Arabidopsis thaliana: one gene and its partners. The protein of the gene in region 1 interacts with the protein of each later gene in a pairwise test. Each region holds a gene or a part of one and is shown in the gene's direction. Other genes may lie near its edges.

The links.
Region 2: the proteins of KNAT6 (region 1) and RPL interact in binary tests that used the Arabidopsis thaliana proteins (3 or more experiments, as listed by UniProt).
Region 3: the proteins of KNAT6 (region 1) and BLH6 interact in binary tests that used the Arabidopsis thaliana proteins (3 or more experiments, as listed by UniProt).
Region 4: the proteins of KNAT6 (region 1) and BLH5 interact in binary tests that used the Arabidopsis thaliana proteins (3 or more experiments, as listed by UniProt).

The regions. Positions count from the first base shown.
Region 1 is NC_003070.9:8,296,791-8,306,787, reverse strand, and holds KNAT6 (homeobox protein knotted-1-like 6), read left to right. Parts: upstream 1-4,187; 5' UTR 4,188-4,295; coding exon 4,296-4,616; intron 4,617-4,754; coding exon 4,755-4,883; intron 4,884-4,984; coding exon 4,985-5,123; intron 5,124-8,799; coding exon 8,800-9,041; intron 9,042-9,130; coding exon 9,131-9,289; 3' UTR 9,290-9,497; downstream 9,498-9,997. Other genes in the region: MENG (S-adenosyl-L-methionine-dependent methyltransferases superfamily protein), read left to right, coding at 9,895-9,997. UniProt on the Arabidopsis thaliana protein: Plays a role in meristem function. Contributes to the shoot apical meristem (SAM) maintenance and organ separation by controlling boundary establishment in embryo in a CUC1, CUC2 and STM-dependent manner.
Region 2 is NC_003076.8:392,261-400,546, forward strand, and holds RPL (POX (plant homeobox) family protein), read left to right. Parts: upstream 1-3,306; 5' UTR 3,307-3,493; coding exon 3,494-4,213; intron 4,214-4,913; coding exon 4,914-5,314; intron 5,315-5,668; coding exon 5,669-5,729; intron 5,730-6,066; coding exon 6,067-6,612; 3' UTR 6,613-6,865; downstream 6,866-8,286.
Region 3 is NC_003075.7:16,528,456-16,536,083, reverse strand, and holds BLH6 (BEL1-like homeodomain 6), read left to right. Parts: upstream 1-2,721; 5' UTR 2,722-3,298; exon of another isoform or gene 3,299-3,510; 5' UTR 3,511-3,585; coding exon 3,586-4,236; intron 4,237-4,427; coding exon 4,428-4,795; intron 4,796-4,871; coding exon 4,872-4,932; intron 4,933-5,019; coding exon 5,020-5,538; 3' UTR 5,539-5,738; downstream 5,739-7,628. Other genes in the region: SSR16 (small subunit ribosomal protein 16), read left to right, coding at 1-124, 222-267, 838-1,000; AT4G34600 (uncharacterized protein), read right to left, coding at 6,126-6,245, 6,398-6,444, 6,720-6,804.
Region 4 is NC_003071.7:11,635,140-11,642,466, reverse strand, and holds BLH5 (BEL1-like homeodomain 5), read left to right. Parts: upstream 1-2,929; coding exon 2,930-3,364; intron 3,365-3,550; coding exon 3,551-3,930; intron 3,931-4,106; coding exon 4,107-4,167; intron 4,168-4,687; coding exon 4,688-5,161; 3' UTR 5,162-5,361; downstream 5,362-7,327. Other genes in the region: BSL3 (BRI1 suppressor 1 (BSU1)-like 3), read right to left, coding at 6,285-6,368, 6,447-6,586, 6,683-6,818, 7,099-7,174, 7,258-7,327.

The DNA.
Region 1 (9,997 bases):
ATAATTTAAAACAACACCTATGTGCATTTGTTAGTTTGTTACATATTCTAAACTTTCCTTATTTATTTTTATATTAAAAAGAGATTTCCTTTTGTATCTCAATTGTTTATATGCTCTATATTTAGACCGGATCTCGACTTAATTAATATTGAACATTTTACATCACTGAAATCTTGAAGAAGAAGTAAAACTATTAGTAATATACTAATATCCTATCTTGACCCAAAAAGCATAAGGTTACTATAACTCAATACGCATAACATTATGGTTCGTGCTACTTAAGCTGCATTTCACTAGATTTATTCCCCCATATATTCCATGAAAAGATATGTCATTAGTCACTCATGAATTACATACTATTTATTTATCTTTTTCGAGCTAATAAAACCACAAAGAAAATGTATTCATATTGTTTGTCAGATTGTCCACGTACCGCATTTGGATTGGTTTTTTCTTGTCACGTTTGGATTGGCTAAAGTTGATACTTTACACATTGGTTGAATATTTATTTAAATATAGTTAGAAACAAATTTTGGCTTACGTCCATCAGGAGGTGATGGTGTATATAAGGCTTGATTATGAACAACAAAGACCGAGACATTTGGTGCTCTAATCAGATTTCTAATCCAGAAGATTTTTGGTCCACAGACCACAGATATATCTATTCTGGGTTACTTTGTCCCTTCCTATAATAGCAGGTATGTTCACATTTAACAACTTTGTTGAGTGGGAGGTTTTTTTCTCCTAACATAAATGAGATCAATTATTACTCTGTTATGCTCAATCATGTCCAAGTGGTATTATATAATTCTTTCAAATAAACCCGCAATTTCTCTTTATGATATTAACACTGATTCCGAACTTTTATACCAAAAGATTTTCAAATGATTCTTATAGTTTTATCAACAAAAAAAAAAAAAAACAGATTCTTATTAGTTATGAATGGGCATATACAACCATTGCTCGAATCATATCAATTATATATCTTACAAACATTGCTGGAATAATATCGATTATTTGTTATGCATCATATTCCAAAACTAAGATATCAAGGGTTTTTGCAAAACAATACCCACATAAATATAAAAATTCTAAAATTAACAGGTTAAATACCGATATACCTAACCTAGATCACTCCTTTATTTGATGTAAAACACTTGACTAGTCGGCTACTCGGCTATAAACCTATAACCAGATATAACTATCAATTCAAATATTAAAAGTGTAACAACTAACAAGTGGTTCAAGCTGATGATGGTATGGGTATAAACTAGTAATCCTAACATTTTATAAAAGTTGGGTGAGGATCAACGGTCGGGATCCAAGGGAATGGGATGGAGGGACCAAAGCTGTGTTTGTTTTTTATATGGATTCATACGAAACCGTAACTTTGTGTCAGATAATTTTCGAACAAACATGGCCCGAAAATGGATGGGTCAATCAACCTGTCCATCAACGAAAAGACCCTTTTAACACTTTTTTTTAATAGAGAAAATAGAGGAACATATTTGATAAAATATTGGTTTATAAATCTTGTTATTGTTTTTCCGTTGATGATTTACATTATGGAAACAAGGTTTCGAAGCACTAAACTCATTAAATATGGTTGCAAATCTATAAATATTGGCTAAAAAATCATGGCTGGTCACTATGAACGTTGGAGATTAGTTTGGAAAAATTCCATAGTTATTAAAAAATGGTTGAGAGGCTTAGTAAATTTCCTCAATAATTTATTTGTTGGATCCTAGGTCACAATTAGAATGGACCACGAGCCGAATTATAAATTCAGTACTTTAGCTGCATGTATAATACGTAGACGAACTTTATAATTGGGTTACATATATTTATGTCGTCTTACATTATTTGGTGATAGATTATTGCAATTATATAGATAGGTAGGGAGATAGGTACAGAAAAATGAAAAGAATCTATCAAATCACAAAGCCTAGATATGTTGATGGAAAATGAATATAACATCGCACGTAGTTTCCTGAGCTCAATACTCAACATCAGCATCCAAGTGGCGCATCGCATGGATAACCAGAGAAAGAAAATATTGAACATTTTGATTGTGTCTCCAGAAAAAATTTGTATTGTTTTTTCTCACCAAGAATATGCATATGTGAACAAATAATATGTTAAATAAATAAATAACATATTTTCGTCTGATCTTTGCCAATAATAAGAAGGCAAACTCGTTTGTGATATATATATTGTTTTCGCTTTTGTGACTTCATATTTATCTAATTTCAAGTCTCCTTTCTTTAACTTAATTTCCCCTTGATTATTTATGATACGTTAGGTGATTTAGAGCAACCAATAGTTTGCAAGTACCTTTAAGATGAAAATGACTTTCTCTAGTCTTTGAGAAAAAAAATAAAAACAGAAACAAAGTTTATATTAAAGTAGTATGAAAGAACATGCCACTTTCTTGATTGAAAATTATATGATAGACGTAAAAAGCTGTCGACAAAACTAAAAGAATAGTTCCATTCGAAATATTATAGATGCTCTCGTTCTATTTTCTTTTTGGTTAAAGTGCTCGTTTTTTTCTTGATACTCTCTTTAAATTACGGCCAATTTCATAATTTCAAACTTAATACATATGTAAAATCATTAAATATACCAAATTATGCTTATGTCTATTTTTGTGAATAAATTACATAGTTCATTTTCATAAGCTAAAGTCATCATGAATATCAGCATCATCAATTTTGGCATAAATTTCATAAATCATAAATTAGCTAAGACCATTGATTTTGCAGCTCCTATACGCCTAGACCAGCGTTTATTTTATTCTTAGTTTTATCCACAAACTTGCTTTATACAGAACTATTCTAAAGTAAACACTAGCTGATACTATATACTAATTTAATCTTAATTAGACGATTTTCCATTAGGGCCTTCTTATCTACTATCTAGGAACGGACCTTCGCTTCTCGAAACCCATTTCATCCCGTACAATCGAAGTGTCCAACATCCGAGTTGGTAAAAAATTTCTTACTACGTAGTAGGTACTAAGAATCACTTATCATATCCATATATTCTTCACATTTGATTTATTTCATACCATCATTTGAATATATATGTGTTGATTATCATTTTGTTAGTAGTCGTGTTCGATAATTTTGTTCTGTATCTAGCAACAAATTTACAGTGACAAGTATTAAAATAATACCGCTCTTTAACTATATATATGTATGTATCAGCTCACTAGTTGTTTGTAACCAGTTCTTGTTTTTCCAGTTTGATATATTCGATTCAACATACCCAAAACATCTCTCATATACTGAACTAATATCTATTTCTAATTGACTCGATTCAATATCATTAGTACTATATTATCTTCTGATATGCGACTTCATTTGTTTTCTTTCTTCTGTTCGGTTTTCCACTTGTTGTTTAACATTTTCACCTTGTTTCACTATTTGCAATCAAATAAACGATTTATGTAGGTGTATCTATATATGTTCTTAGGATCATAATAAAAATATATTTTCTACAAAGTTTTTCGAAAATATATATACATTGGGGATTATTTTTTTAACTGTCTACAGCTCACACATGCATATTATCATATTTGAATGAAGATAACGATACAATGCCGATACTGATACAAATCATTATGTTAGATGCTCAATTTGTTTCTATAGGTCCTATAATATATACATCAAGTCATCAACTATACTTTTTGAAAAGAAAATTACACAGAGCTTTCAAATAAGTTGCGTGTAGTTTAGTGGTTATATGTACTAGTAGTTATGTTACCATCTAAGTGTATTGTCGATGAGAAAAAAAAGAGTTCAAATAAACTGACATAGTATGCTGGTAAATAATCACACTTTTTCCGTTTTTTCCATTTCGTTTTCAATAATATATAATTTTGTTTCTCGCCATGTTTCATTGATATTAAAAATCTCATGATCATGCAAATTCTATCATAACACAGCCTTGGACCTTTCTTAGATATATATGTTAGGAAGGCCTTATCTCGACCTATGAAGCCTGAAGCTCCATTGAGCCTTTTAGCATATGTCCTTTTTCGTAATTATCATTTTATTTTTCTTCTCCGTTAACTTTCATATCTTTTTTCTTCCAAAAGAAAATAAATTAAGATCCCTCGAGCCTCTCTCTCTCTCTACACACTCCCATAGAAATAAATATTTTCAAGAACCAAAAAGTTTGTTATAAGCGGTTTCATATTATTCTTCTTCATCGATTCTTGATTTTGCAAGAAGACAATTCAAGAAAGCGATTTAGAAGACGGAGGAGTTCTTACCGGAGATCTTATACTTATGGATGGAATGTACAATTTCCATTCGGCCGGTGATTATTCAGATAAGTCGGTTCTGATGATGTCACCGGAGAGTCTCATGTTTCCTTCCGATTACCAAGCTTTGCTATGTTCCTCCGCCGGTGAAAATCGTGTCTCTGATGTTTTCGGATCCGACGAGCTACTCTCAGTAGCCGTCTCCGCTTTGTCGTCGGAGGCGGCTTCGATCGCTCCGGAGATCCGAAGAAATGATGATAACGTTTCTCTAACTGTCATCAAAGCTAAAATCGCTTGTCATCCTTCGTATCCTCGCTTACTTCAAGCTTACATCGATTGCCAAAAGGTGATCGTTAACTCTTTCTTTTTTTATCACTTAGATAAAATCTAGGTTTTACTTTTTAAAGATAAAGATAAGATTGAGAAGCTTTGATATTTGATTGTTTTTTTTATAATTTTATGGTTTAACAATTTCATAATTTAGAAACAGGTCGGAGCACCACCGGAGATAGCGTGTTTACTAGAGGAGATTCAACGGGAGAGTGATGTTTATAAGCAAGAGGTTGTTCCTTCTTCTTGCTTTGGAGCTGATCCTGAGCTTGATGAATTTATGGTCTCTCTCTTTTTTTCCCTCGATTTTTTTTCGGATTTTTATTTTTGTTAAAATATTTTTTTTTGGAAATTTTTGTACTTAAGAAGATAATTTATTATCAGGAAACGTACTGCGATATATTAGTGAAATACAAATCGGATCTAGCAAGACCGTTTGACGAGGCAACGTGTTTCTTGAACAAGATTGAGATGCAGCTACGGAACCTATGTACTGGTGTCGAGTCTGCCAGGGGAGTTTCTGGTATGTCTTAAATTATCCCTCTCTGGTTCGGTCTTTTAGTGGTTCTATTTTGTGGTTAGTTCTGAATGATTTCTTTTGATCTTTTCCGTGGTTTTTCATTAATAATATCCTTTCCTCGATATTTCCATAGGGTTTTGATTCATATGACCAGTTTCTGAAAAATGATTGGTAGCTTGTTGATAGAATAACCCTAGGCTTTTGAAGTGATCAGAAAGCAAAATAGATAAAAAATGAAAAAAAAGAAGATAAACCCTAGCTACAAGTTTCATTTCCATAGCTATTTTTCCCTTGATGGGTTTTGTTTTGTGTGTGCTTTTCTTTTGGGCACGTTGAAACTCTGGAGACAAAGATCTGTTTAAGGTGTTGTGCAATTATTTTACTCGTTCATTTAATGTTTTAGCCATGGGATTAGGGTGTTGGAGTGTGGTGGGGATTTCCTCTTCTTCTTGTTGTTGATCTTTGTGCTAATCATACAAATTTTACTTTATATCTTTTTCTCTTCTTTCTCTGTCAGAAAGAAAATGGTGTAGAAAGCAATAAACTTTTGTGGTAGAGATTCTGATTTTGACGTTTCAGAGGCTTGTTGCGTACTGAATGTTTTTTCAACTTGTTGCTTTTTTCTAGTGAAAAACCAATTGACAGAAAAACCTAGTCATAACTTTTTAACAATATGTGTAGTTGATTTTTCATGAGCTTCTTTTGCTTCACTTCTCGTTTAACAATAAGTAAGTATAAGTACTAGTCATAACTCATAAGTCGCTTCACTCTTGTTTATGGGTAACAACCTTATTAGGTTACCAGTTTTTCTAAGACTTCAACTTCTTTTGGTCAGATGATTATTAATAACCAATAAGCCATAAGAGTTATTAGCTGTAATTCCTCTTTAAGCTCATTCACAGATTCTCTGGATCGGAATTAATAAGCGTGTTTAGATAATTTTACGATTAAATTTCTGTTATATCTTAATAACACACCATATAATTTTTCTATCTAATTAAATAGGTTAAAACAATAAAGTTAAAATTGTATTTTAAATTTAATATAGAAGTCTACAAAACGACATTCTTTGTGAAATAAAAATTTAATCCTGAATTCGACATTTATTATGAAGAACGTAACTTTGGTCTATTTCAAGTTTCAATGATCTGAGAACAAGAGTAGGGAGATTTTTGTTGATCATCGGAAATAGTATCATTGCCAAGTGGCCACTCTTATCTGCATGTTCTTGTTGGAGTCTTGTTGGACTTATATGTAAGTAATAAACCAAAACTGACTCAATTTTGAAGCGATTTAAAAGTCTAGGTTTTATGCTTATACATGAATGAAATGCTTCAAATAAGTGACTTTCTTTGTGGTTTACTGATATTATCTCTTTAGACCACATATTGTACTACAACTAGCAAAAACATTGTGGCCATAACAAATCAACCGATCAGGTTAGCTAGAAATACTGATCCTTAGGAGTTTTTTTTTTAATACAATAAAATAGAAGAAAAACTCCAGCTGAAAGAGTTAGCTGTAAAGAAATGAAACTCCATAGATTGGTAGACTTTTTTTCAGCTTTGCAGGAGTTTTCCATTATCGTGGTCGATCTCAAATGCAGGTTCCACTTGTACTTTGGTAATATTGTTTATTGGGGGAAAAAAGCTGCTGATATATAAAAACATATCAGCTTATCTTTATAAACTAATCGAGAGTTAGCATAGAGTATCAACTGGAAAAGTTGAAAATAGATCGATGCAGGTTTTCCATAATGGACGAATGTTTATGATTAATAATTTTAAAATTTGTTCAAAGTACAACTTGCCTTTTTGAATGATCTCATCTGTTTTTTTTTTCTTTGGTTGTGTGCTTTATTTAACCATCTTTTTCTTTCACCTGAATGAAATCATAAACTAATAAAGAAAAAAGAAGCTTACAATTGTTAGACAATATTCACATGGGATGCGATGTTATCTACTAGTTTCTCAGTTCAATCACATGCTTGGTTTCTTTCATGTTGATCTGATTTAGTAATACAAGTTGATCACATAGACTTTTGATTTCTCACTTCTTGGTTGTTGTGATACGGTAATGCAACTTAGCGAAAGCCCTTCTTTGGACTAGCTAAAAAAGCAACACATTCTTTTCTTCTAATGCGTGGTTATCTTGCTACTTAGAGTGGATGGTCTCTTATTGACTTTTATAGTCAACATTTGTCTTGTTGCATGCAATATCATCAATGTTACATGTTTGCATATTTGATCTAGAAGATAAGAATACTGCAACGAGAAGAATAGGAACATAGTGCATGATTAGCTTGAATTAGAGGTTCTTTTGGTTTTTGTTATAAAGTAAAAGGTGGAAAAGTCACATGGACTCCCGTGGATTCCGCTAATGACCCCACCAACTTTCTCTCCTAAGATTTTATTTTTGATTTGGTTATTAAAAAAAAAAGGAGACATAGGGTTCTCTACACACCACAATCAAATCATCTATAAGACTGCGACTATGCTTCTTCTCTATCTTTCTCAACTCTTTTGCCATGCCCTCTGGTTGCGTTGTTCCCTTGGTGGGTCGTATTATGTCTCTCTGAGGCACGCTACTAGCACGTGTCTACTTGCATGTTACCTTCTTCAGTGAACCCTATTTTCAAAGCAGTCAATGCATTGCTGAAAATGTAAATAATAATCCCAACCATACAAACTATCGTTTTTTGCCATTAAACTGTTACCCTAACTACTCATATGTGTGTAATGTGAACGTAATGGTCTCTATAATATATGATCAGTTCATGTTTTATGCATTTTAGTATATTTTTATTGGCCTATTTAACATCTCTATTTCCTTCATAATTACTGTGGCTGCTGTAGAAATCTTTTAACTTTTATAATATGTTTATAAAACTGACTGAATTGCGTGAATTATAAATTGACTGAAATTACCTTGGCTGTTGTAGAAATCTTTTAACTTTTTTTAATATATGTTTATAAACTGACTGAAATTGCGTGTATATATTATGTAGTCCAGTATTTTGTGTGACTGACTAAATATTTTGACTAAGCACGGTTGCTTGGTCCGACTATATATTCTGTCACATAGGCAAAACTATTGTAAAATCAGGTAATGTTCTTGAATCGTCTTTGGGTTGAGTTTTGGTGTCAGAGAAGCTGGGTAAGTGGGTCAGTAGAGTCGTTGGGGCATATATATAAATGTCCAAATACATTAAAGAAAGAGAGAGAGAAAAGGAAATTGAGTTTTGGGGTATCGTGGAGAACATAAATGAGAGGTGTAGCGTTATTTCCGGGGGTTCACACAACCTCTAAATGGTATTTACACGTGTCATATTGAGATTGGGTAATTAGTAGGCCTAAGGGGGGATGTCTCCTCATGGGGACAAGACTATTAGTCCTCTCCTGACAAATGACAATGGAGGTAACTATTCACTGCGGCGGTTTTTTGACTGCTGCACTCAATCGTGTGCGTCCTCGATATTCTCTACCCCTTACCACTCTTTCTTCTTTCCCTTTTTTGCCCTCTTTAGCCACTTAGCCGTTTTAGCCGAGAAAGCCCATTTAAACTTTTTCATGGTAGTGAATAGTGATAATTCTGTTACATTTACTTGCTATAACCTATAACCATTCTCTGTCTTTGATGTCTTTGTATAGTGATAATTCTTGTGAATTTGGTGTAACAGAGGATGGTGTAATATCATCTGACGAGGAACTGAGTGGAGGTGATCATGAGGTAGCAGAGGATGGGAGACAAAGATGTGAAGACCGGGACCTCAAAGATAGGTTGCTACGCAAATTTGGAAGCCGTATTAGTACTTTAAAGCTTGAGTTCTCAAAGAAGAAGAAGAAAGGAAAGTTACCAAGAGAAGCAAGACAAGCTCTTCTTGATTGGTGGAATCTCCATTATAAGTGGCCTTACCCTACTGTAAGCAAAAGCAACACTTGCATGTTTTCCGACATAACTAACCACTACACTTATATATAAATGGGTGGTATGAATGTGTGTGTACACAGGAAGGAGATAAGATAGCATTAGCTGATGCAACGGGGTTAGACCAAAAACAAATCAACAATTGGTTTATAAACCAAAGGAAACGTCATTGGAAGCCATCAGAGAATATGCCTTTCGCTATGATGGATGATTCTAGTGGATCATTCTTTACCGAGGAATGAATTTATTTATGGTACTTATTTAACGTTGATTAAAAGATGGATGTATAATTCTGCCTTGCTTTGCCGACAAAGGAAAAAAAGAAAGAAAGAGTGAAGCATGGACGACACATGAAATGGATCTTACACTCACTCACATGTAGTAGAAGGAACAAGTCAAAATGCTTTGTAACTATTATTATCGGTGAATAAAAATAACCTCTTTTGTCTTCTCCGGACCTCTCGTGATATAGCTTTTACCCTCTTATTGGCAAAACGTTGAACAAACAAAATACTTAGATAGGTTAGATTTGTTTATTAACTATGTGTTTTTCAAAAATAATTATAAAATATCTTGTTATTTGTGTAAATCACACTAAATTAAACACATTCTTTTATTGACAGTTTAATCATCATGTACATTTTGCTAATTGTAGCCAAAAGTTTAGCTATCTAGCAATTGGAACCTTGTGCCCATAATCCAACCATCTCTGTTTAAATTTTGGGGTGGGTTTCAAATTATCCTTATTGGGCCTAAAATCGGCCCAATATTAAACTGAAACCAGACTTTTATCCAATCCGAGTAATCGGAACAAAACAACATGATCGTGTGAACCAACGGCCAAAAAATGGCGGCTCTACTCGGTATCGTCTCTCCTGTGACTTTCACCGGAAAGCACCCGGTAAATTCCCGATCGCGACGGAGAACGGTAGTAAAATGCTCGAACGAAC
Region 2 (8,286 bases), on another chromosome or scaffold:
TTTTATCTTCTGTTCCTTATAACATCCTCTTCCTCATGAAGTTGATTGGCACGATTCTGAAACACGGATCCTTATTTGGATTAGAATGCTGTCTCGAGGCCGTTTGAGAACTTGGGGGCATATTATGAATATCCCACAACAAATAAATAAGGGATGGTTTCTTATCTTCAACATCATTTTAATCCTCACCTCTAACTCAATATACATACACTCGCCTTTGGATGAAAAAGCAACATCACATGACAAAATCTTTCTACAACCCTTATCACTGCAAAATCTCGATCAGCCAGACAATTCTCACCACTTGGGTTTCAAGCCTTACACATCCATGTTGTTTTAATAAAATTCCAAACCATCCCCATTATTTTTGTAACTAGGGCTCCCCCATGAAGTTATTTTTGTGCAATATACTAACATTTAAGAAAAAAAACCTAGAAAATTGAAATGATACAATTATTATGAATTTACTAAAATTAGAGTCGCAAATCTAAGCGCGCATTACATCTATAGAGGCAGATAATGAAAAATATATGTAATTTTTTTTTGGGTTATATACTATTTTATGTTCAGCCAAGAAGGTGAAAAAGGAGCGATTGCTTAAAAATGTTTTCGTGTGGTTACCCGTGATGCAATGTAAAAAGAAAAAAGAAAAAAAAAAGAAGAGAAGAGAAGAACTAATAATTACGTGCACTTTAATTTACTGTAATACTTTATTGGAGTGCCTTGGTTCTTTTTCAATTTTTGTGGTCCATCTTAGCCAAAAGAGGAAATACTTTTATATAATATAAAATATTGTAACGCAAAGTATTGCTTAGTATTCGAAACACATTTTTTCAAATGATTTACGTCCCATTATTTCCCATGCAAACGGAAATATCCTCTAATGATTATTTCAAACACGATTATTACAGTACAGTCGAAATTACTTTCCCGGTTTAATCATATTCTGGCATATCTTATAACATATTTTTTGCAAAGGTATTCGCTTTTGTTTTTGTGACAAATTATTTATTAGGTTTTTAAATTATTACAAATAACTCTCACAGACGTATGTAATCCAACACATAAAATATATGGTTGATAAGAATTCACATCAATTTTGATTAATTTAGGGACTATAAATATGTTATATACAATAATTAATCTATGCATCTTTTTTAATCATTGTGATTGTTCTAGTTATAATAAAATATGGTTGATCACAATTCACAACAATTTTGATTAATTTATGGACTATAAATTTGTTAACATAATTAATCTAGGCATCTTTTTAAATCTTTGTGATTTCTCTAATTATATAATATGAACTGCAGAATTTGATTGTTCTCAATGTATAATCTTACGGGTCATACCATACCATCCATGCTTTGAGTTAGGGATGTCAAAATAGGTCAAAATTCATGGGTCAACTCAACTCAACTCAACCCATGAACCCTAATGAGTTGAAAATTTTGACTCAAATGAGTTGATGAGTCAAATGGGTTAATGAGTCAATTGGTTTGATGAGTAAAATGAGTTGGGTTGTAATGGTTAATGGTTTCAATGGTTTACCCAATTAACCCATCAAATTTTATAAAATTGAATTAAACCAACTAAAATCTCTAAACCAATGCCAATTTAAGTTTAACCAACACATCTAAACAAATTTAATAAAATTAATATTTTTCCAAATTTCTTAAATATACAAGCGATGAAATTGAGAAAAAATAAATTCGTAATTTTTCCACCAAAAAACATAAACCCGTGATTTTCTCGCCAAAAACGTAAACCCGTGATTTTCCCGCCAAAAACGTAAACCCTTAATTTTCCCGCCAAAAACGTAAACCCGTAATTTTCCCACCAAAAACGTAAACCCGTGATTTTCCCGCCAAAAATGTAAACCCGTGATTTTCCCGCCAAAAACGTAAACCCGTGATTTTCCCGCCAAAAACGTAAACCCGAGATTTTCCCGCCAAAAACGTAAATCCGTTATTTTTTCGCCCAAAACGTAAACCCATGATTTTTCCGTCAAAAACGTAAATCCGTGATTTTCCCGCCAAAAACGTAAATCCGAGATTTTTTCGCCGAAAAGCTTAAACCCGAAATTTTCCAGCCAAAAACGTAAACCCATCATTTTCCGGCCAAAAACGTAAAAAACTATAATTTTCCTGTCAAAACGTAAATCCGTGATTTTCCGTACCTAAAACGTAAACCTGTAAAAAATAAAATCCGTAAATATCTTAAGTTTGATGATAATGAATTAATAATGATAATTATTTATTATTGTTTTATAATAATAATTAATTAAATTATTACTTAAATGGGTTAACATCTCAAACCATTAAATTAAATGAGTTATAGGTTGACCCAACACATTTAACAAAATGAGTTGGGTCAACCCATAACTCATTTATTCTTAAACTCATTTGATTATAAGTTGAGTAGAGTTGGGTTATCCATTTTGATATCCCTACTTTTAGTACTATAGCTACAAGCCTACAACTATGGAGATTAGTGTGAATGTATGATTGTCGAATAAAAATAGAGTGACTAAATATTTTAAGCGTAAAAAGGTATTTATTCCAGCAAAAGAAAAGAAGAAAAACGACAAAAAGAAGACTTAAAAGTTGTAGAAATGTCAGTACGTATGTGAAAGACTGAGACACAGAACACTTTGTACAAGAACCAGTTCCAGTGTCACCGGTTACAGCCGGTCGCCTTCTCTTGATTCCCCAAAGCCTCTCCCACCAAACCCGGGACTTTTCACTTTTCATCAGTATTTTTTTTTGTTAAAGATTTTCATCAGTATTTTATATATATATATATATTATAAAGATCGAATTTGTTTGCATGATGAGGAAAGTATATCGAGTTACTATGTATCCATCGTTTGAAATACCCGTTTTAAAAAAAAATAATGAGATTTATTTTTAGGACTTCAGTATATATACGATTAACTTTTAACAGTTGTGTGACTAAAACGAAATGTAACAAAAATAAGAGAAAACTACAAAACAGGTAGTGAAAAATGACAAAAAAATTGTAGGACGCTAAGACGAAAAAATGATTCAAGAAAGAATATGTCTTTTCAATTTCAGTTTTACGAAATCGTGTAATAACGTAAATACTAAATCACGATTTCACAGAACCATATAAAATACTAAAATCCCACGCAATCATTAAACTTAATTCACCATTCTACGGATGACCTATGAGAGAGCATTGAATTGGCTTTAGTAACAAACACCAAAAAGATGAATCTTGACCAAATTTGTAATGCTCATACTAAATTCCTCCAAGTCTTATAAACATTAGATATTTTATATTTTAGGTTTTCAAAATATGTCATATAAAGAAAAATTTGATATACATATTGATCGTGCTTCAAAAAGACACCAAAAGAGCTTCTCTCTCTCTTAACCTCTCGTTTCGCCATTATCTCTTACACTGTTACTCTCTCTCTCTCTTCTTCTTCTTCTTCTTCTTCTGCATCTCATCGACATCATCCTTTCCCATGGCTGATGCATACGAGCCTTATCATGTTCTTCAACAAAGCCGGCGAGACAAACTTCGTATTCCATCTCTCGATTCCCACTTCCACTTTCACCCTCCTCCTCCTCCTTCCTCCGGCGGCGGAGGTGGCGTCTTTCCTCTCGCTGATTCCGATTTCCTCGCAGCCGGTGGCTTTCACTCCAACAACAACAACAACCACATATCTAACCCTAGCTACAGTAATTTCATGGGATTTCTCGGTGGCCCTTCTTCTTCTTCATCCACCGCAGTCGCCGTCGCCGGAGATCATTCCTTTAACGCCGGACTTTCTTCCGGAGACGTTCTTGTCTTCAAACCCGAGCCTCTATCTCTATCTTTGTCCTCTCACCCTAGACTCGCTTACGATCTAGTCGTTCCCGGTGTTGTTAACTCCGGATTCTGTAGATCTGCCGGTGAAGCCAACGCCGCCGCCGTCACCATCGCGTCTAGAAGCTCTGGTCCTCTCGGACCTTTCACGGGCTACGCGTCGATTCTTAAAGGATCAAGGTTCTTGAAACCAGCACAGATGCTTCTTGATGAGTTTTGTAATGTGGGTCGTGGGATTTACACCGACAAAGTCATCGACGACGATGATTCTTCTCTGCTTTTTGATCCGACGGTTGAGAATCTCTGCGGTGTTTCTGATGGCGGCGGAGGAGATAATGGAAAGAAAAAATCAAAACTCATCTCCATGCTCGACGAGGTATACAATAACATGATCAATTCTAATCTCTTTAAATTATTGAAATCTGTAAATTTTCTTTAATTATTGTCTATACTTTCTTACAAGTATGTGAATTATTGTGTTAAATGTTCACAGTTTTTGGTCGGTGTCCTTTGGAATTGGAGACAAAATGTGTTAAATGATATGTCTCTTAAAAAGATCTTCCTTGGAAAATGAAACTCCTTCAAAGCCATTTTAAAATTATATGATATTTTATTTAATTCATTATAATACCATATGTTAATTAAATTAATGTTCCCTACGTTTTGCATGAATAGATGATGTTATAGCGTCCATTTTAATACATTATATAAATTACAAGCTTGCCATCTTCATGCTGATTTTTAATAGAATTTTAAGGTTATACTAAAGTAAGGATAATATTATCTTGAGGAAGTAACTTTATATAGAGCTTCCTTAGCTCTTGATCTGAATTTGTGAATTAGATTCTTCAAATCTTAGGGGTATAAACATTAAGTGATAAAAAGAGAACGTCTTCTTTATGAAAGGAATATATGCATTATATGATCTTAAAGCTAGGGACTTAAAGATTTTAATTAGTTTATTCCGAGGTATATAACATACTTTTTGAGTGAGGAAATAATGTATAAATTTATAATCACCCATTTTATTATGTAAGTGGGGGAATCTAAAAACATTTCCATGTGACGTTTTGAAGGTTTACAAGAGGTATAAGCAATACTATGAGCAGCTACAAGCTGTGATGGGATCATTCGAATGCGTTGCAGGTCTCGGGCACGCTGCTCCGTACGCTAACTTAGCCTTGAAAGCATTGTCTAAGCATTTCAAGTGTTTGAAGAATGCTATAACGGACCAGCTTCAATTCAGCCACAACAACAAGATCCAACAACAACAACAATGTGGTCATCCGATGAACTCTGAGAATAAGACTGATTCTTTAAGATTTGGAGGAAGTGATAGTTCTAGAGGCTTATGTTCTGCTGGTCAAAGACATGGATTTCCTGATCATCATGCTCCTGTTTGGAGACCGCACCGTGGCCTACCCGAACGTGCTGTTACTGTTCTAAGGGCTTGGCTCTTCGATCATTTCTTGCATCCGTAAGTAACCCTTCTCGCCATATAAATGCTTTTGAAAGTTGTTGGATTCGAGTTTGAACTTGGTTCCAACAATTGATTAAACTAAATGCAAACGTTTAATTGATCATGAACCAAATTGTATATATATGCTTGTGAACAATAGCTTTATATGTGTGTGTCAGTGTGAATAAATATGTGTGTATCGAAGTGTATTTTTACTTGGAAGTATGTTTTAGATGGGACATGTCGACTGCTTGTTTGTTTCCCAAACTTGGAGATGTCGTGTTGCAAGCGTAATTATGTGTCTATATATATGTGTATGTTAGTATATACAATGATATATTAAATTGTTGTTGTCTGTGTCTTTTGTTGCAGTTATCCAACAGATACAGACAAACTCATGCTGGCTAAGCAGACAGGTCTCTCCAGAAATCAGGTTTCACTTCTGATATCTTCAGTCTTCTTCTTTTTTCTCTTTCCATCTTTTCTTGTTCACAATTTAACAAATTTCTTGCTAATTAAGCATGCACATAGTCACATAGATAAATATATGCTTTTATGAAATGAGTTTCTGTTGTCGGACAATAATTATATGTTTTAAATCTTTTCACATATATCATTAGTATAGTAACTATGTTATAATTTGGTTTATTAGGTTTGAATAAGTGTTACACTTTTGTTTTTGAAAATTTATCCGTTGGTGATAATGAATAATTTAGGGATTTTCTATCGCTTGAGGGTTATTAATTTATTATGGTAAAATGTTATTTTAGGTATCGAATTGGTTCATAAACGCAAGAGTTAGGGTTTGGAAGCCGATGGTGGAAGAGATTCACATGCTGGAGACTCGACAATCTCAGAGATCTTCTTCTTCCTCTTGGAGAGACGAACGTACTAGCACCACCGTCTTCCCTGACAACAGCAACAACAACCCATCTTCGTCCTCGGCACAGCAAAGACCTAACAACTCATCTCCGCCTAGACGGGCACGAAACGACGACGTTCATGGCACAAACAACAACAACAGCTATGTAAACAGTGGGAGCGGCGGCGGTAGTGCGGTTGGTTTCTCGTATGGAATTGGGTCGTCGAATGTGCCGGTGATGAATAGCAGCACAAACGGAGGAGTGTCTTTGACGTTAGGGCTTCATCATCAGATTGGGTTACCGGAGCCTTTTCCGATGACAACTGCTCAGAGGTTTGGGCTTGATGGTGGTAGTGGCGATGGTGGTGGTGGGTATGAAGGGCAAAATCGTCAGTTTGGGAGAGATTTTATTGGTGGTAGTAATCATCAGTTTCTACATGATTTTGTAGGTTGAGATTATTTGTGTGGAAAGGAAAAAATATGTTTGACGTTTGGGTATGTATAAGAAGATATGGGGGAATTGAAATGCATATGATGTGTATATTAGAATGTTTCTTCTTCTTTTTTTGTTGTTTGCTTACTTTCACAAATGTTATCTTTTTAAGAAATGAAATTGGATTCAATAACCAATGTTAAAAACATGGGTTAGACTTTAGAGTTGTCTATGTCTTGGTGAAATATAAAAGGCATCTATCATTGTTTTAATATTTTGGCATGATTCAAAACATGGTGCTTTTTTTTTTTTTATGTATGTCACAATTATCGTTGAAGAACGCGATTAAGATGTTTATCATTGATCGTTGATATTATATTTTGAACTATCTTGTTTTACTTGATAGTAAACATTGACTAAACAACATGTTTTCAAACCCTAAACCTTGAAATATTTCAGACTATTTGAGTTATCTTTTTGAGTCGGATGCAGTTTTGACTCCGATCCGCTCAACATTGTTGAATTCTTCTACTCATAAAAGAAGTTTGAGCCGATTTCAAACACACAAAACAAATGAGTTCGGTTTAATGTTCAGTGTGTACTAATACGTTGGCTTTTGAAGATCACATGAGAGCAAAAGTATTGAAAATAAAATTGTGCTTTTGTTGCTTCAAATAACTTTCCATTTGCTTTTGGAAAACAAGAAAGATATATATATATATATATATATATATATATACATAACCTTTCCCTCTCATGGGAAAAAAGTAAATCTTTTTCTTTGTAGAATTTATTCTCCGATCCTAACCATTTCTCAGCCTTTTTGTTTGTTTACACCATTTTTGTTTATATTCTTGGATTATGTCTATATAGAATAAGATGTAAACATAAACTGTATTAGCAAATATGTTTTGAATTATATGAAATTCAATAATTGAGAAGAGGTTCATGTAATGAGCCGAGAGAAGAATATAAAAGCAGTCAAATAATTTTTTCAAAAAACTATTTGTATATTAAAAAGGTACAAAGTAAAAAATAAATTTAAGAAGGTGCCATCATTGGCTCCTAAAGAACAAACTACAAAGAATCAATTTCTCATGATTTGATCTCTCACAATCCGTCTCCTTTATGTGGATGCGGAAAAACACTCTCCACACGTTTCATGTAAAAATTTTAGTTAAATTTCTAAAAACAATAGAGATACTATTCGATTTGTTCTTGAATTATTCATGAATACATATAGTGGCAACCTTAGACACTAGCCACGTCAACCGTACATGTTATATCATATATTTTTATATTGGTCTATCTATATGCTGAACTAGAGTCTAGAGATAAATATGAGAACATATAAGAAACCATGGACAACTAAAGATATTGTCTTTCTGTGTGAGTATTTGTTCCAGAAGCATTAAACCTTCGGAATAAGTATAATTCTTTTGCACCATTACTATTTTTATAAGCTTCACCAGCTCTATATATATTCTCACCATTAACATAAAACAACAACAACACGAAGAAGAAGATGAAGGTACTTGATGATGAACGGGTAATCTGCATCCTGAGGTTTAAAACCAATTAAGCATATACATATGCGAATGTATAGTTTTTAATCCTCGGGATACAGTTTACCTCTTCCTTACTCAAGAAAACACTTAGCTTTAACGGTTTTGGAGAAAGAAGAAGCATCGAATT
Region 3 (7,628 bases), on another chromosome or scaffold:
AAGATAAGGCTCGCGCGTCTTGGTTGTAAACACCGACCCTTCTATCGTGTAGTTGTCGCCGATGAAAAATCGCGCAGGGACGGTAAACAAATCGAGGTGTTAGGCTTTTATGATCCACTCCAAGGTTCGTTATTTCTCCTCTATATACATTTCTCAATTCTCAGTAAAATTGAACACTTCCTAATGTCTCTGCTATCATGAATCTACTTGTACGTCTTCAGGCAAAGAAGATGCGGATAGAGTGAGCCTCAAATTCGACAGAATCAAGTATGTTTTTTTTACTTGTTCTATCATCTTCATATTCCTGTTTGCTTGTATAATTGTGTCAAGTATTTTAGGACACCAGTTAGATGTGAAACTCATGATTGTTTGATAAGACTGAAACACTAAAGAGTCTCTTTCTCGACATTATCCATATGATTGATTATTCCTCATGAATGTGTTTTCTTGTTTGTCTTTTAATCATCTTAATTCATTCTCTTTAGTATTCTGCAAGGTCATAAACTTGTTCTTGCCACAATGATGCTGCCTAATTGCTTAGATTGTGACAAATTGAGATGCTTTCTGTTGATTCTGTGTCCAAAACTCTATTTGCATAAGGCTACAATCCTTAATTCATTTGCTTCTCTCAGTCATGTTTGGTTGTTTCTACACCTAATGCATTTCATCTGGTGCAAGTTTTCTGTGAGGCTTGGTTTTGCTTGTATGATTGATTTGATTAGACTGGTTTAAAAGTCTAAATCCACACAGTTCTTGGTGTCTAACTAAACTTCTTTTTTATTTTGTGCAACTGTTGAAAGAAATTGATTTTCACTCTATGGTACTCGAATAATGCAGGTACTGGTTATCTGTTGGAGCTCAACCAACAGACACAGTGGAAAGCATGCTTTTCAGGGCCGGTTTGATACCACCAAAGCCTATGGTAGTGGTCGGTTCGAAAAATGGGCAGAAGTCTACGAGCCAACATGTTTCACCCATTACAGGTGAAATCTTGAACTAAGAGTGTTGATGCGTTGAGCAAGAAAGAGCCTTTTGTGTCTGTGTGAAAGGAGTTTATGTAATGTTGTTTAAGACTTTTCTGTTTATGTGAAAGGAGTTAATGTAATGTTGTTTAAGACTTTTGCTTTCTATGTGAAAGCAGTTTAATGTTATGTTGGTTAAGACTTTTCTGCAACAGAGTTTGGTGAATTTTTATTCTTTAATATGAGCATGCCTTTTTACATTTAACAATTCTCACTTTAGACTAAATAGGCTTTGGTAAGAGGCCCATATTTTCAAAAATAAGATTCATTCTCAATATCTGGATTGTATGCTAAAAAAAGGAATTAGGCCCATATTTGCTCAAAAAAAAAAAAAAAAAAAGTTATCTGCCTGAATATGATCTTGGACATTAGAACCTCGTTCTTACCTTTTATGTATATCTTTACTTCTACATGGTAGTAGTTATATAATCTCGTTGATCTTGAAATTAGTTCTTATTCTCATATAGGTCTGAAACTCTTATATTGCTTCTCTTCAAAATTTTGTTCCGTCTTTTTGGTTTCAATATCTGCCAAAATGTATTTGTATCGTCTATATGTGTTAAAAACACATGCAAGAGACTAGTAACTAGACAATAATCTATTTCAAACTAAATTGGTCTTCTAATAAAAATGTTATAGTTATGGAAAAAAGGATGTGTCTTTGGGACATTACAGCTCTATTGGGCCAACAAAATCTCTCGCTTCGTATCCCATTAGATTCTCTCTTTCTCTCTCTCTCTCTCTCTTCCTTCAGAGATGTTCATTGTTCGTATTATTACGGCATCTCTGGCTCTGACCCTCTCGCTGCAACATCTGTCCCTATTCAGACAGCTATACCTCTATTTTCATTCTACACCTAATACTTTATATTTCTTCAAAAATCCACCCTGATCAACTTCCTATCACTATCTAAGTCATTCTCATTATCTTTGTGTTGTTGCTCTCAAGTCTCGCCCATGGAACTAACGATTCTCTCAGCCTCTAATCAGTATTGGACCCTAGTCTTAAAGATTATAGTAGTTACCAAGTTAGGACTTAGGACTTAGGATATAGACTTCTGTCAAACAAGAAAGTGAATGCTAAGTTTAGAAGCATTTGAAAGAAAAAGTACTAATCCATAAATATCTACAAGTTGTTTCCAGGAAAAGACAAAACTCAGTGGGGAAAACGAGCACTTATGGTGTTTACAAAATGAAAATAAAAAAGAAGAAAAAGTTGTGTTTGTTATTTTTTGGGACCCTTATTTCTTTAATAGTTGCATAGCCTCTGGACGACCAGAGTCCACGAATGTATAATCAGATACCAAAAAAGTATGAAAGAAATATATAAAGAAAAGGAAGAAGAAACAATCATGGCTTGGCTTACTTAAAAAGTAAAGTAGCTAATACTCTTAATCAAAACTCACATAATAAACATTAGTTATGTGTTTATAATGATAAGTTAATGACCTATTCATCAGAAAAACAAGTTGTGATATATATACTTAATCAAAATTCACCACGATCTACTAATCTGCTAAATTTTTATTGTTTACTTGCAAAATAAACTATATAACTCAACACTTCCGAATTTAAATTTAAATTTAAGATGACTTTATGTCAAGAAGCTAGTAGCATCTTTGATTCTTTGTACTTTTCAACTTAAGTAAAGAAAATAGAAATGTGATTATATGGAGGATATTGATTTAATCAATGTGTAATTAAGAGACAGAGAGTGATAAGGATTGGGATTAAGATTAGGTTTAGGATTGGGAGAAAGATGAAGAGAGAGGGGTTTAGGTCGACCAACTGGTTGTTAAAGATAGAAACTCCTTAACCATACATTTATATAACATTTTCACAATAATTTTCTTCTCTTTACCAAAGACTTGACTCCAGGAATCAATAAGCAAGAAGCAGGAGGTTCAAGCACCAACCAGATTATGGCTTTCTGAAGCAATATCTTCAGAAAACAAAATAAAGTTTTTATTTGATTTTCTTATTACCATATTATATACTATTAAATAAGAAATTCAAAGTTTTTTTTTTCCATTCTTTCTTTCTTCCGGAGGAGGGAGAGTATGATATGGGTCTTTCACGTGTGACATTGATGAGATGATGAATTCAAATTATATCTCATACCAAAAAAAAAACACAACCAAGAGAAAGAGGCGTAACCTTCTGATTTCTTTCTTTTAAGATATCAATAAAATCTTTCACATTTTCTAATTTTTAATTCTTTTCAAGATTTTGTTGTCTCCTTCAACAATCCATCAGAAGTAGCAGTTTGGTTTCCAGGTAATTTACTAATCTTTTTATTTCTATACAATTCTTCTTTTTTTTTTGTTGTCTATGGATTTGGCTTGCATCTCCATAATTGCATGCATAACCATATATTCAAGACATGTTGAAATCTTACATGTTTCTTAGCAATACACTGATTATATGGATCCTGCTCTGTTTCAATTGTTTTTGAATCTGTCTTTAATGTCAAGCATTTCCTCCATAAGGTTAAGTTCTTACGACCTGATCAGAAAACAAGGGACTATGGAACTCAAGTGAGCCAAAAAGAACACTCCATTTCGATGGAGAATTATCCAGAAACACAGTTTATTCCCGGAGATTCAATGATCCAGAATGCTATAGTTTCTTACTCTGAGGAATCAGCCGGTAGAGAAAGAAGAACTGAAGCTAACAATGTCTCAGCCTCACAAGAGAGGCAAGCATTGTCCAGATTTGGGGGAGTTCCACAAATGCAGAACATTGGTCAAGATTTCGGTTCTTGGAGAGATCAAGCGAGTGACAGGAACGGTTTCCAGCTAATGAGCGCGATGGCAGGTGCCACGGGGATTCTTCAGACCGGTCAGGGACTGTCCCTTAGCCTTGGTTCACAGATTCTTCCAGGAATTCATCAGATAAGCCATCAAAATATGGCGCCGAGAGGCAATGAGTATGCAACACAGAGTTTTCCGGGCGGGAATCAGAACTTGGATGTTGTGAGAACAATTCCCAACTCAAAGTATCTTAAGGCGGCTCAACAGCTTCTAGATGAGGCTGTTAATGTAAAGAAAGCTCTAAAGCAGTTTCAGGCAGAGGGAGATAAAAACAATGAGAACCCTCAAGAACCGAATCAGAGCACTCAAGACTCGAGCACGAATCCTCCTGCGGACATCTCTCAGTCGGAGAGACAAGAAATGCAGAGCAAGTTGACAAAACTCTTGTCAATGTTGGATGAGGTAATAACTTGAGACCTAATCTTCTTAATTTGATCATGTGATGGTTACCTTTTATAGGCCTTTTGTTATAATATTTTAAATGCAAAAAAGCATACATTTAAATAAATTGCAGCCATAATGTTGTTACATTTGGTATATATAGGATATGTTGAATATTTAAGAAAATGAGATATTTCTTGATTTTGGTAAAGGTGGATAGAAGATATAAGCAATATTACCAGCAGATGCAGATAGTTGTATCCTCGTTCGATGTGATAGCTGGTTATGGAGCAGCTAAGCCATACACAGCACTCGCCCTTCAAACAATTTCTCGCCATTTTCGTAGCCTAAGGGATGCGATATCCGGACAAATCCTCGTGCTACGTAAATGCCTTGGGGAACAACAAGATGGATCAGATGGGAAAAGAGTTGGGATTATAAGCCGGCTTAAGTACGTTGATCAACATTTAAGACAACAAAGAGGTTTTATGCAACCTCAAGCTTGGAGACCTCAACGCGGTCTACCTGAAAACTCTGTTTTGATTCTCCGTGCTTGGCTCTTTGAGCATTTTCTTCACCCGTAAGTCTCCCTTGAATCTTATCTCCACACATTTTCTTCATAAATAGTGATGATTACTGTTTGAAAACATGAATAGTTACCCAAAGGATTCTGATAAGATCATGCTAGCAAGACAAACGGGCTTGAGCCGCGGTCAGGTAAGGAATGTTTTATTTGAAGATTGTTTCTTTCTCTTCATAGTATAGTTTATTTATTGATTGTTGTGTGTTTTATGTTTGTAAAAGGTTTCAAACTGGTTCATAAATGCACGAGTGCGTTTATGGAAGCCAATGGTGGAGGAGATATACAAGGAGGAATTCACAGAGAATGATTCCAACTCGTCTTCCGAAAATACACCGAAAATGTCTGAGATAGGACCTGTTGCTGCTGATGATGAAGATCGAGCTCGAGAGTTTTCACAAGACCAGACCAAACCGGACCATGGACATGGATATGGCGAGGAAACTCGTGGCATGGTCCAAGGCAGTCATATGGATGGTCGCCGGTTCATGGCAGTTGAGCCTACATATCATGTGGCTGATACGTCAAGATTGGGTCGTGGTGATGTGTCCTTGACTCTAGGGCTTCAAAACTCTCAAGGACAGGACAATGTTGTGGCTATGTCTAGTGAGGCATACAACAACTTTTCCGGGGTGGATATTTACGAGAATGCCATCCCGGGAGATGAAATGGAGTATGTAAACCCCGGAAGTCGCCAGAACCGGATAAATTCTTCACAATTGGTACATGATTTTGTAGCTTGAAGAAGTAAGCAATGGAGAGGAATAAAGCATAGGTGTGATGAACTTATGATCAGTCTCAATTCTGTAGTGGAAGAATGTTGGTCAGAAGAAAAAGTTTTAGAAATATTTGTATAAAGTAAACATTCTTTTGTACAAGAATATAAGTGAGGTTAGGTCATTGGGACCAAACAGAATATGGTAAATGCAATTTGAGATCTGCAAGAGATGGACATTACACTGTAGACTTATTATCTTATCACATCTACGAAACTGCAACGTTCCCAATTCTCTTCTCTTTTTTTTTGTCTGGCACATATACAATCTGTATCCGTTTTCAGAATTAATCGAATATTTCAATATTAATTTTGATCATAAGGATTCTATCAGATAAATTGTAATATTCATCTAATGATGACTATTCACCAAATTTACATTCTGCATGATAGCAAAGAGCACTATCTAATCATTAATTTACTAGAAAACATATCTTGAAACTTATATATATGATTATCATTCAAACTTATTGCAGTGTTAGTATTTAGGTTTACATATATTATACATCTCAGAAAGTCTGGCATCTATATATAGTCGATCGGTGATATGCATGATCAGTTGGGAATAAGCTTGAAAGGAGGTCTCACGAGCTTTGGTTTAGGACTGGAGTGGCCATAGTCTCTTGAATTCATTCTCAGAATTCTCTCATGCTCATGTATTCTTCTTTCTACTACCTGTCCACAAATAGAATGTATTCACCAACGTACAAAATTGTTCTTGAAATCATATAACTACGATCTTGATTATCAATTTGTTCGGTTTTTTACTAAGTAAAGATATACAACGCACGGTAGTTGGCAACTTTTTTTGGAGTTAAAACGAATACCTCGGGATGATCATCTTCTTGGCTATAGATTAAAATGGATGATCGGCCTACAAAAAAGAAAAAAAAAAGAGACTTAAGCTTGTCTATTCTTTATATCCAAGATTAATCAATCCAAATAACACTAACGTAACATACTATGTCGTTAATTTTCTCCTTTAGTCGTCATTAACACACATGTGGAGAGCACAAGCTCTTAATGTTATTATCTTACTTTCTAAAAGACTGATCTCAGTAGGAGGCACATGAAGTTGCAGAGAAAAGCTGCAAACAAAGGAATATAAATATGTAGATAGAGAGAGAGAAAAAAAAGTAAGAAACAAACCTGCAGAACAGAGAGCAAACGCTGAAGCTGAAACTAGAAGAAAGATGATGAAACCTAGTTTCTTCACCAATGGCAACAAACCCATCTTCTTTCTCCTTTCAATTTTTGATGTGCCTTAAGCTGTATCTTGTGTATTTAGATACACGTACCTTATCAAAAAAAAGAGAAGCCAATGCGTTTGGTATATCACTATATATAATCTCTAAAGAAATAACACGATTAAAAGTTAACTAATTTGTTTAGCCAACGTGAATGCTTTAAATAAAAAGCAACAATAAAAACCGGTTTAAATAGAGATTAGCTTGAGTTTCAAAATTAGATTGTATCAATTACAAATAAATAAAAATAGTAAAATACCATAACAACAATTGATTTATCCATCATTTAATTAATGCAAATATCTCTTAATGCTTTTAATTAAAAAAATTGTTCATGGAAATGGTGGGATTGGAGAAAAAGTTGAAAGGAGACTACTTTCCTATTGTTGGCCACAATAAGTCTAAAGAGGTTAGTGACCTGATTATTTAATATGAGTGCCTTCATTATCATAACCCAATTAAATTTACCAAATCATCATAATTATATTGTAGAATCCTTGAAGACTAGGTATTCAATATCGGTCAAAGTTCCATTCCTATTCTCCAATCAAGAGATATCGCTAGCTATAACCAACTGAATAATGTACGATTAGGCCTCTATAAATCTGATAGTGATATACTATATATGATACACTACTTCGTTTAACTCAAATTAATCGATCATAACATACTTACTGAAAGATAGAGTCATAAATTTTTCTCATAATTTTTTGCTAAAAAGTGTTAAACTTAAATGAATTGCTGATTGAGATTATGGAAAAAAGAGAACAAAGTTGTTTAAACTTTGCTTCGATGCACTGATTCGTCACAC
Region 4 (7,327 bases), on another chromosome or scaffold:
AAGTAGATGTGTCAATTAGACTATGAGGTTAGAGACTATGACGAAAAAAGTTGAGTTCGGGCAATGTGTCAAGTAGATGGTCATTTTGGAAAAAAAGTTTATCTAGAGATAGCCACGAGTCTGGGATTGATTCTATCACAGTCGGGTGACCGTACAATATTAGAGTAGGAGCAAAATACTATAGAAAGATTTTACCTCTTCAAGTTTTGCAAACGACAAGTGATTAAAAAGAATCATGTTCAATCTCTTAAAACATCATTTGAGTAACAATAAGTCAATACGCAAAAGGTTCTTATAAGATGACAAAGTAATGAATTGTTTCCATAATGGCTAACTAAGATTAGAAGTTGCATGATAATGCAGTCCACACGAGATGGCTACTTTTTTCAGACCTACTTCTTTTTACTTTATTTTTTACGTTGCTCTAATGGCGCTTTTAATTAGTAATTTAAGCTTTAATTAGCTTTATAACTCAATCTTAACGTTTTAATGATGATCTTTGATCAGTTATGATGGTTTTGACAAAGTAAAGAATACACTTGTCATTCTCTGATTCCAACATGGCTTTAGATTAATTCATGCTAACCCAACTTTTTCAATACCCTAGTGGAATGTCCAAGTCATTCCCTTAATATCCCATCAGTATTTTGTTTCACTTACCTTATGATATAATCAACAGAATATGTTTTCAATGTTATCGTGTCCAAAGTTGAGTTTTAGTGCTATATTTTGTGGACCAACCACAAATATCATCAAAGAAACTTTGGTTTTGAAATTTATTCTAAAGGTCATAAGCTTTCAGAGAAAACAAAAGCATAAAATTATTCTCTAGATCAAAATTTTAAATATATTCAAAACTCATTTTTATTACCTAGCTAAAAATTCACTTGGTCTATACAAAGAACGTATAGTTTGCTAAGCCGTTTTTAAAAATTCGAACAAACATTAAACAGCTGAAAACCAAACAGTAAAAAGAACGTATAGTTTGCTAAGCTGTTTTCAAGACGATTAGAAATATTATAAATATAATCTGGATTTAGTTTCGGCTTTTAACATACAGTTTGTTTCACTTCACTTTTCTTTCTTTCCTCATCCTAGTTAAACTTTTATAACACACTTTTTTAAAGTTGTATTGCATTGTCTTTTTCTTATTTGTTTTTACAGTTACTTACTCTCGGGACGAATGGCGAATTGACACAAATCCACGAATGTAAATAAATAGCAATGTCGCATTATACTTAATTGATCTAAAAAGGAAAAATACTATTATCATAAAGTGAAAGATATAAATACAACTTGGATCTGACCGACACGATGAATTCTCATACACAGTCTCAATCCACCAAACTAAATAGTTATTATCACATTCAATAATAGAAAAAAAATTGATCTCAACACATATCGCGATATCAATTAAGATACGTCTAGCTTTATTTCGGTGTGTGATGGGAAGCTTTCCGAGGAATACAGGCAGATAATGGCATCACCAAAAAATAATGTCTAAATGTAATCTATTAATAAAATCCAAATTTTATATTAGTATTCGAAATTATTTTCTAGATACATTACTATGTCAAAATGTGTTTTAACTATGGATGGATGCTTAATTCGAAGAGTAATGAATTTCCGGGAATTGTGGACCATGTGGTCTATTTTCCAATGTACCATTACTATCTTCAAACACAAGTACTGACAACACAAAGAAAACATAAGAGAAAATATGATTTAGAAAACTATATGAAAGGAATAGGGAAATTTTGAAGATAAAGGCGGAACCAGGCAAATAAACTTTATTTATTTTGGCTGATAAATTTTTAAACATAGATTTGCATTGCAATACAGTTAATTAGTTGTTTAGTTGTGGAAAAGAAGAAAAAGAGTGACTTGTCGCAAACTAATATGGTTATCTAAATACATAAAAGAAGACTTTTGATGTGTGGAGTGGAAGTAGACGTTTCCTCGTTCTTCAACTATCTCCATGGTTCTGCTGACCCACTTCTATTATCTTTTCACATACATTTAACTATACACATATACATAGATTCATTGTAGATTTTAATTTAGTAATAATAATACAATATACTAATAATAAATGTTGACCTACTAAGTTATTCATGTAGGGATCATATAGATGCGTTGCCAAATATTAAACGTGCGGACATCAAATGATAAGACAATACTACCATCTGTAATATATTTTTCTCGTCAACAACCATTAATTAAAATCTTATTTCACCTATAGTATACAAATGGTAAAACGAATGACAATGATAGAAGTGTGATCGTAAAAATATATATATGGTAGCTATACTTATTCTTAGATAGATTGTCTCGTAGATCTACATTTGCGACCACATTGAAATTTTTTAGCTAGGTTGGATATTGGGTGTGAATCGTGCCTAAGATGCAAGTGAGAAATATTGGATATGTAGCAGTAGCATGCCGTGCATATATCATGTATGCTAGAATTGGTGATTGGTCAAAATCCATTGAACTTCGAAACATCACAAGAAAAATATTAATCGTGAGTGTCACTGTTTAGTTGTCCAATGAGATATAAAAGAAAAAAGTACATATTTTTCCCATTTATGAAAAGTCCAATCACATTTTATTTATAAAGGCGACTTATTGGACTTTCTAGTTGACAGATCAATGAAGCAGAGGATATTTAGATGATCATCGCAAGCAGAGAGAAAGACACGTCGAAGAAGACAATGAGAAACTCACACCCATAATTTGCTGCTCATCATTTCTAATTATTAAATAAAAACGGTAATTTAATTTTCTTGATTTGTCACATCTTTATTTCATCATCTTTTGCTTACCTTTTCTTCCTAAGCTCTTGGATATTATTAATGTTTTAGATCGATTTATATTATAATTTGATATTTTCTTGAATTGCAAGTTTTGTTGCTTAATTGTCAGAATAATGGCTGCTTTCTTTCTTGGAGAATCTGAAATGAGAGAACACTCTTCTGATCTTTTTATGATGACTCTGAATCCGTTTCGCGAGCAGACAACGACCACTAATGCTCATGACGATCACTTCTACAACTTGTGCTTTGGTTCCCAACAATATAGACCTCGAGATGAAGTAGGTCATATAGAACAAGGAAATTCTTCCATCTCCACTTTTTCAAACGGAGGAGTCTTCAGGGCTTTGGCTCCGATCTACTTGAAAGCGGCTCAAGAATTACTCAATGAGATTGTCAATGTTGGAAACGGTAGCCACGGCGCAAAACAAGAGCGACCGGTGAGTAAAGAGTCCACGATTTATGGAGTTGAGGACATCAATGGTGGCTATAAGCCTGGCGTAGCTGCTTTGCAAATGAAGAAAGCAAAACTCATCTCCATGGGTGAAATGGTAACTTATTTATACCTACCTATATAATATGTGATACACAAATAATAATAATAAGATCTTTGTATATACAAACCAACCATGGTGATATATATAATGGCAATAAACTTTCTGTTACTTTGAGATCGGGACTCAAGTTCAGTCCATATATTTGGTTATTGCATGTTAAGTATTTGATACTTTATAAAGGTTTCAAAGATTGGTAAATTGATTTGGGAAATGAATTTGGTAAATTATACACAGGTGGAACAGAGATACAAGCAATACCATGACCAAATGCAGACTATAATCTCATCGTTTGAGCAAGCTGCGGGTTTAGGCTCAGCAAACTCATACACACATATGGCGTTACAAACAATATCAAAGCAGTTTCGTGCTGTAAAAGACATGATAAGTTTGCAAATCAAGCAAATAAACAAGCTCTTGGGACAAAAGGAATTTGACGAGCAGCTTAAGAAGTTGGGAAAGATGGCACATCACCATTCAAATGCTTGGAGACCGCAGAGAGGTTTGCCCGAAAAAGCTGTTTCCGTTCTACGCTCTTGGCTCTTTGAGCATTTTCTTCATCCGTAAGTAACGTTTTCTTCTATCTTTAATTCTTGTTACGATTATTGTCGATATATCAGAATGATGGGACCTTGAAGCAAAGGGAACTAACTAAGGATATGGAAGCTAGGATCATTACTTAGTTTTGTATAGACATGCATGCTAATGATTTAGTTGTGTCTTGTTTTGGTTTGTATAGATATCCGAGGGATTTGGATAAGGTAATGCTTGCCAAACAGACTGGCCTTACTAAGAGTCAGGTAATTGATTTCGATTATCAGAAGTTGGACATACTTAAGTTTCTTAATGTTAGATGTCTCATACATAGTACATATACAATTTCATGACATCATCTAACACCGACTATCAAGAATAAATAATCTACAGGTAAAACCGAATATATATATAGATTCAAACAAATTTTATTCCGATCAAAAAAATATTTTTAGAAAGATATCTCTTTATTTCTATTTTTTTTTCTTTTCGAGTCTGAAAACAAAAACGTACCCAAGAATTCTAAGAAAAGCAGGTAAACCAAATATATTTTGGTAAATTTATTTAGATAGATGATGTATATTTATTTTATTATAATTATTTTAATGAAAATAGCGATGATAGCATACGAGAAATATCATATATGTGATCCTTTGTAAAGTAAATCAAATTTATTTTGGTTAAATTAGTAATTATATATATTATGGAATACTTTCTTTTAGCACCCATGATTATATATAATCAAAATAAGTATTGTTAATAGTATCTTGTGTAAAATGGATGTAGGTGTCAAATTGGTTCATTAATGCTCGAGTTCGAATGTGGAAGCCACTGGTGGAGGAACTTTATTCGGAAGAAATGGATATTGAAGAAAGCAGAAAAGGAAGTGACCGGTATAGTACCAAAGGTTCATCTTCAAAGCAACCGTACAATAATACAACTTCAAATGAATCTTCGAACACGATCCTACCCGCCTTTCGTCAAGGATTCACTGAAACTGAAACCCCTAGGCAAAATTCATCCTCAAGTTGCAGCGTAGTCATGAGGTTCACGAAGCAACACATGAATCAAGCGAACTTCATCAATTTCAACGGAGGGTTCGAAAACTATCACACAATGGATGGAAACAGCGTCTCCCTTTCCCTCGGCCTGCCTCATTCTTGTGACCAAACCTTTAATAACATTCATTTTGAGTCAACAAGTCATGGAACTGAGAACTCGGCCATATATTCATCTTCAACTTATCAAATCATGGATTAGAAATAATTAGTGGGGATGATATATTTTCTGCTTGTTGCTTACGTATATTCTGTGTATAGTTTTGGCCCTTGGATGGTTTCGTATGGGTTGATGTGTGTAGATTGATAGAGAGGAGATGATTAAGTAAAGGTTATGATAAAAATGTAGATAACAATACTAAGCTAAAGAAATATATATGGTTTTCGATAGTCAGGTTTTAGTTAGTATTGTTACGTATGAGTGTAAATGAAGATCAGATCAACCGTGAGATCCATATTAGCTAATAGTTGTGACTTTATGAACGTGTATGTGTGTGTGTGTGTGTGTATGTCCCCAAAAACCCTAACTTAATCTCCCACCTCTTCTGTCTTTTTTCTAAAATTTGTTCCACAAAACAATGAATATATATTAGCTATAATTATTATTTTGTTGTTTTACATGATCATCTTAGTGACCTAACCACAAGTTAATTGGCTACCAAGAAGTTATGGATTTATTTATTTGAGTTGATTTTTTGTTTGTCTTCCATATCCAATTTTTTATTTTTTATTTTACAAACTAACAAAATACAGAAATGTTTTAAAAATGATGGTAAAATAAGAATATGATAGAAAAAATGGGAGAGAATATTTTCTGTATCATTAAACACACAAACCGTTGCTACAAATTACATACTGAAAAATATGAATGAAGACATTATACAAACGACCAAACACACCTCTCTATGATACATAAATACCCCAAAACTAAAACAACCTCTAAAATCCTCCTCCTACTCACTCTCCTGTTTGTGTCCCTCACCAAAAGTCCAATACCACATATATAATCAATACTAAGAAAAAAAGCAAAGTGAAGAAAATCAAATATATGAATAAAAATGAGAAAACCCCTTTTACAAAACAAATACTCTTCCTCCTCACTACTACTACAAATTCTTTACCCTTTCATCATCTGACTTGAATGAACTTAACCTGTGAAATTCTTCGATAACTCAAAACCCTCATTGATCCATCTCGTTGGTAAATAGCAATCGATAATTGAATGGTTTGGTTGGTTCTGTACACAACATGAGGATCACCTAGAGGCGGCTGTCAGGACTCGGGAGAGGTATGTTATCTCGCACTCGTCACTCTTTCTGTAGGGTTTATATCCAAGCAAGAGAGCCGCGGTCATTTGGATTTTGTGGGCGTCCTCTTGTTGGTGTTGGTGGTCTATTTACGTTTAACTCCTGCAAAATATCAATGCTTAGTTACGCCATTTTCCAGGTGGAAAAAGGAAGGCATTAGTATCTGTTTGAGATAAAAACCTGCATCCATGTATCCTCTATATGTCTTTCTGGTGAAGTTTCAGGTGAGGTTATCGCTGGAGGCAATGGATGGATAAGCTTAGGAACCACCACAAGATCTCTCCCCAACACCAAGATAGCCCCGGCATTGTTTGCGGTACCTGAGAAGGAATAAATATAGATCATTTTTTGTCAGAAACTATCAGATCAGGTCTTATTACCAGCTTAGGAGTGAGTTCTCGGTTCCATAAACATACCACAATAATTTGTTGCCGAAAAGAGCGTTATCAAATGACCTTGGGCAAAACGCTCAAATCCGTCCATCACGCATTCATGCGCACGTACAATCAATTGCAGATCATTGTTGTTGCAAAACTCCATGACACGGTCAGGCTGCAGTTGTCAAATTCTTGGTAAGTAATAGAACAGGCAGAACTACTTATGGAAGCGAAGTAGAATTATATTACTCAATATAATTGTCTAACAACAGCCCATGAATATGTCAAGGGTAAGGGACTAGCAAAATCAGTACTCTTCACACTTAGGAAGCTCAAAATGAGCGGAAAGAAAAGATCACTCAAGCTGATGTAATGGAGTATGAGGTGAGGAGGGGAAGGGAAAGAGAGCAGTAATCAATGCAAAGTGTACGAAATAGAAGAAAAAGACCACTCACCCCAAAAGTAACCAACCCAGGGCCTCTAGCATTGGGCCTTAAACCTTCGACACTGTCATTTTCAGTTGGATCCGACCTAACAGATTACAAGATGACATACTAGTGAGACAAGGATCACGGAAACAACATAGAATGATACAGCATTAGACATGAACTTACCATAATAAATCCATAAGTACAATTGAGCCTGCTTCCATCGTAATTGGACGTTGGATATTTTCTATCTGCT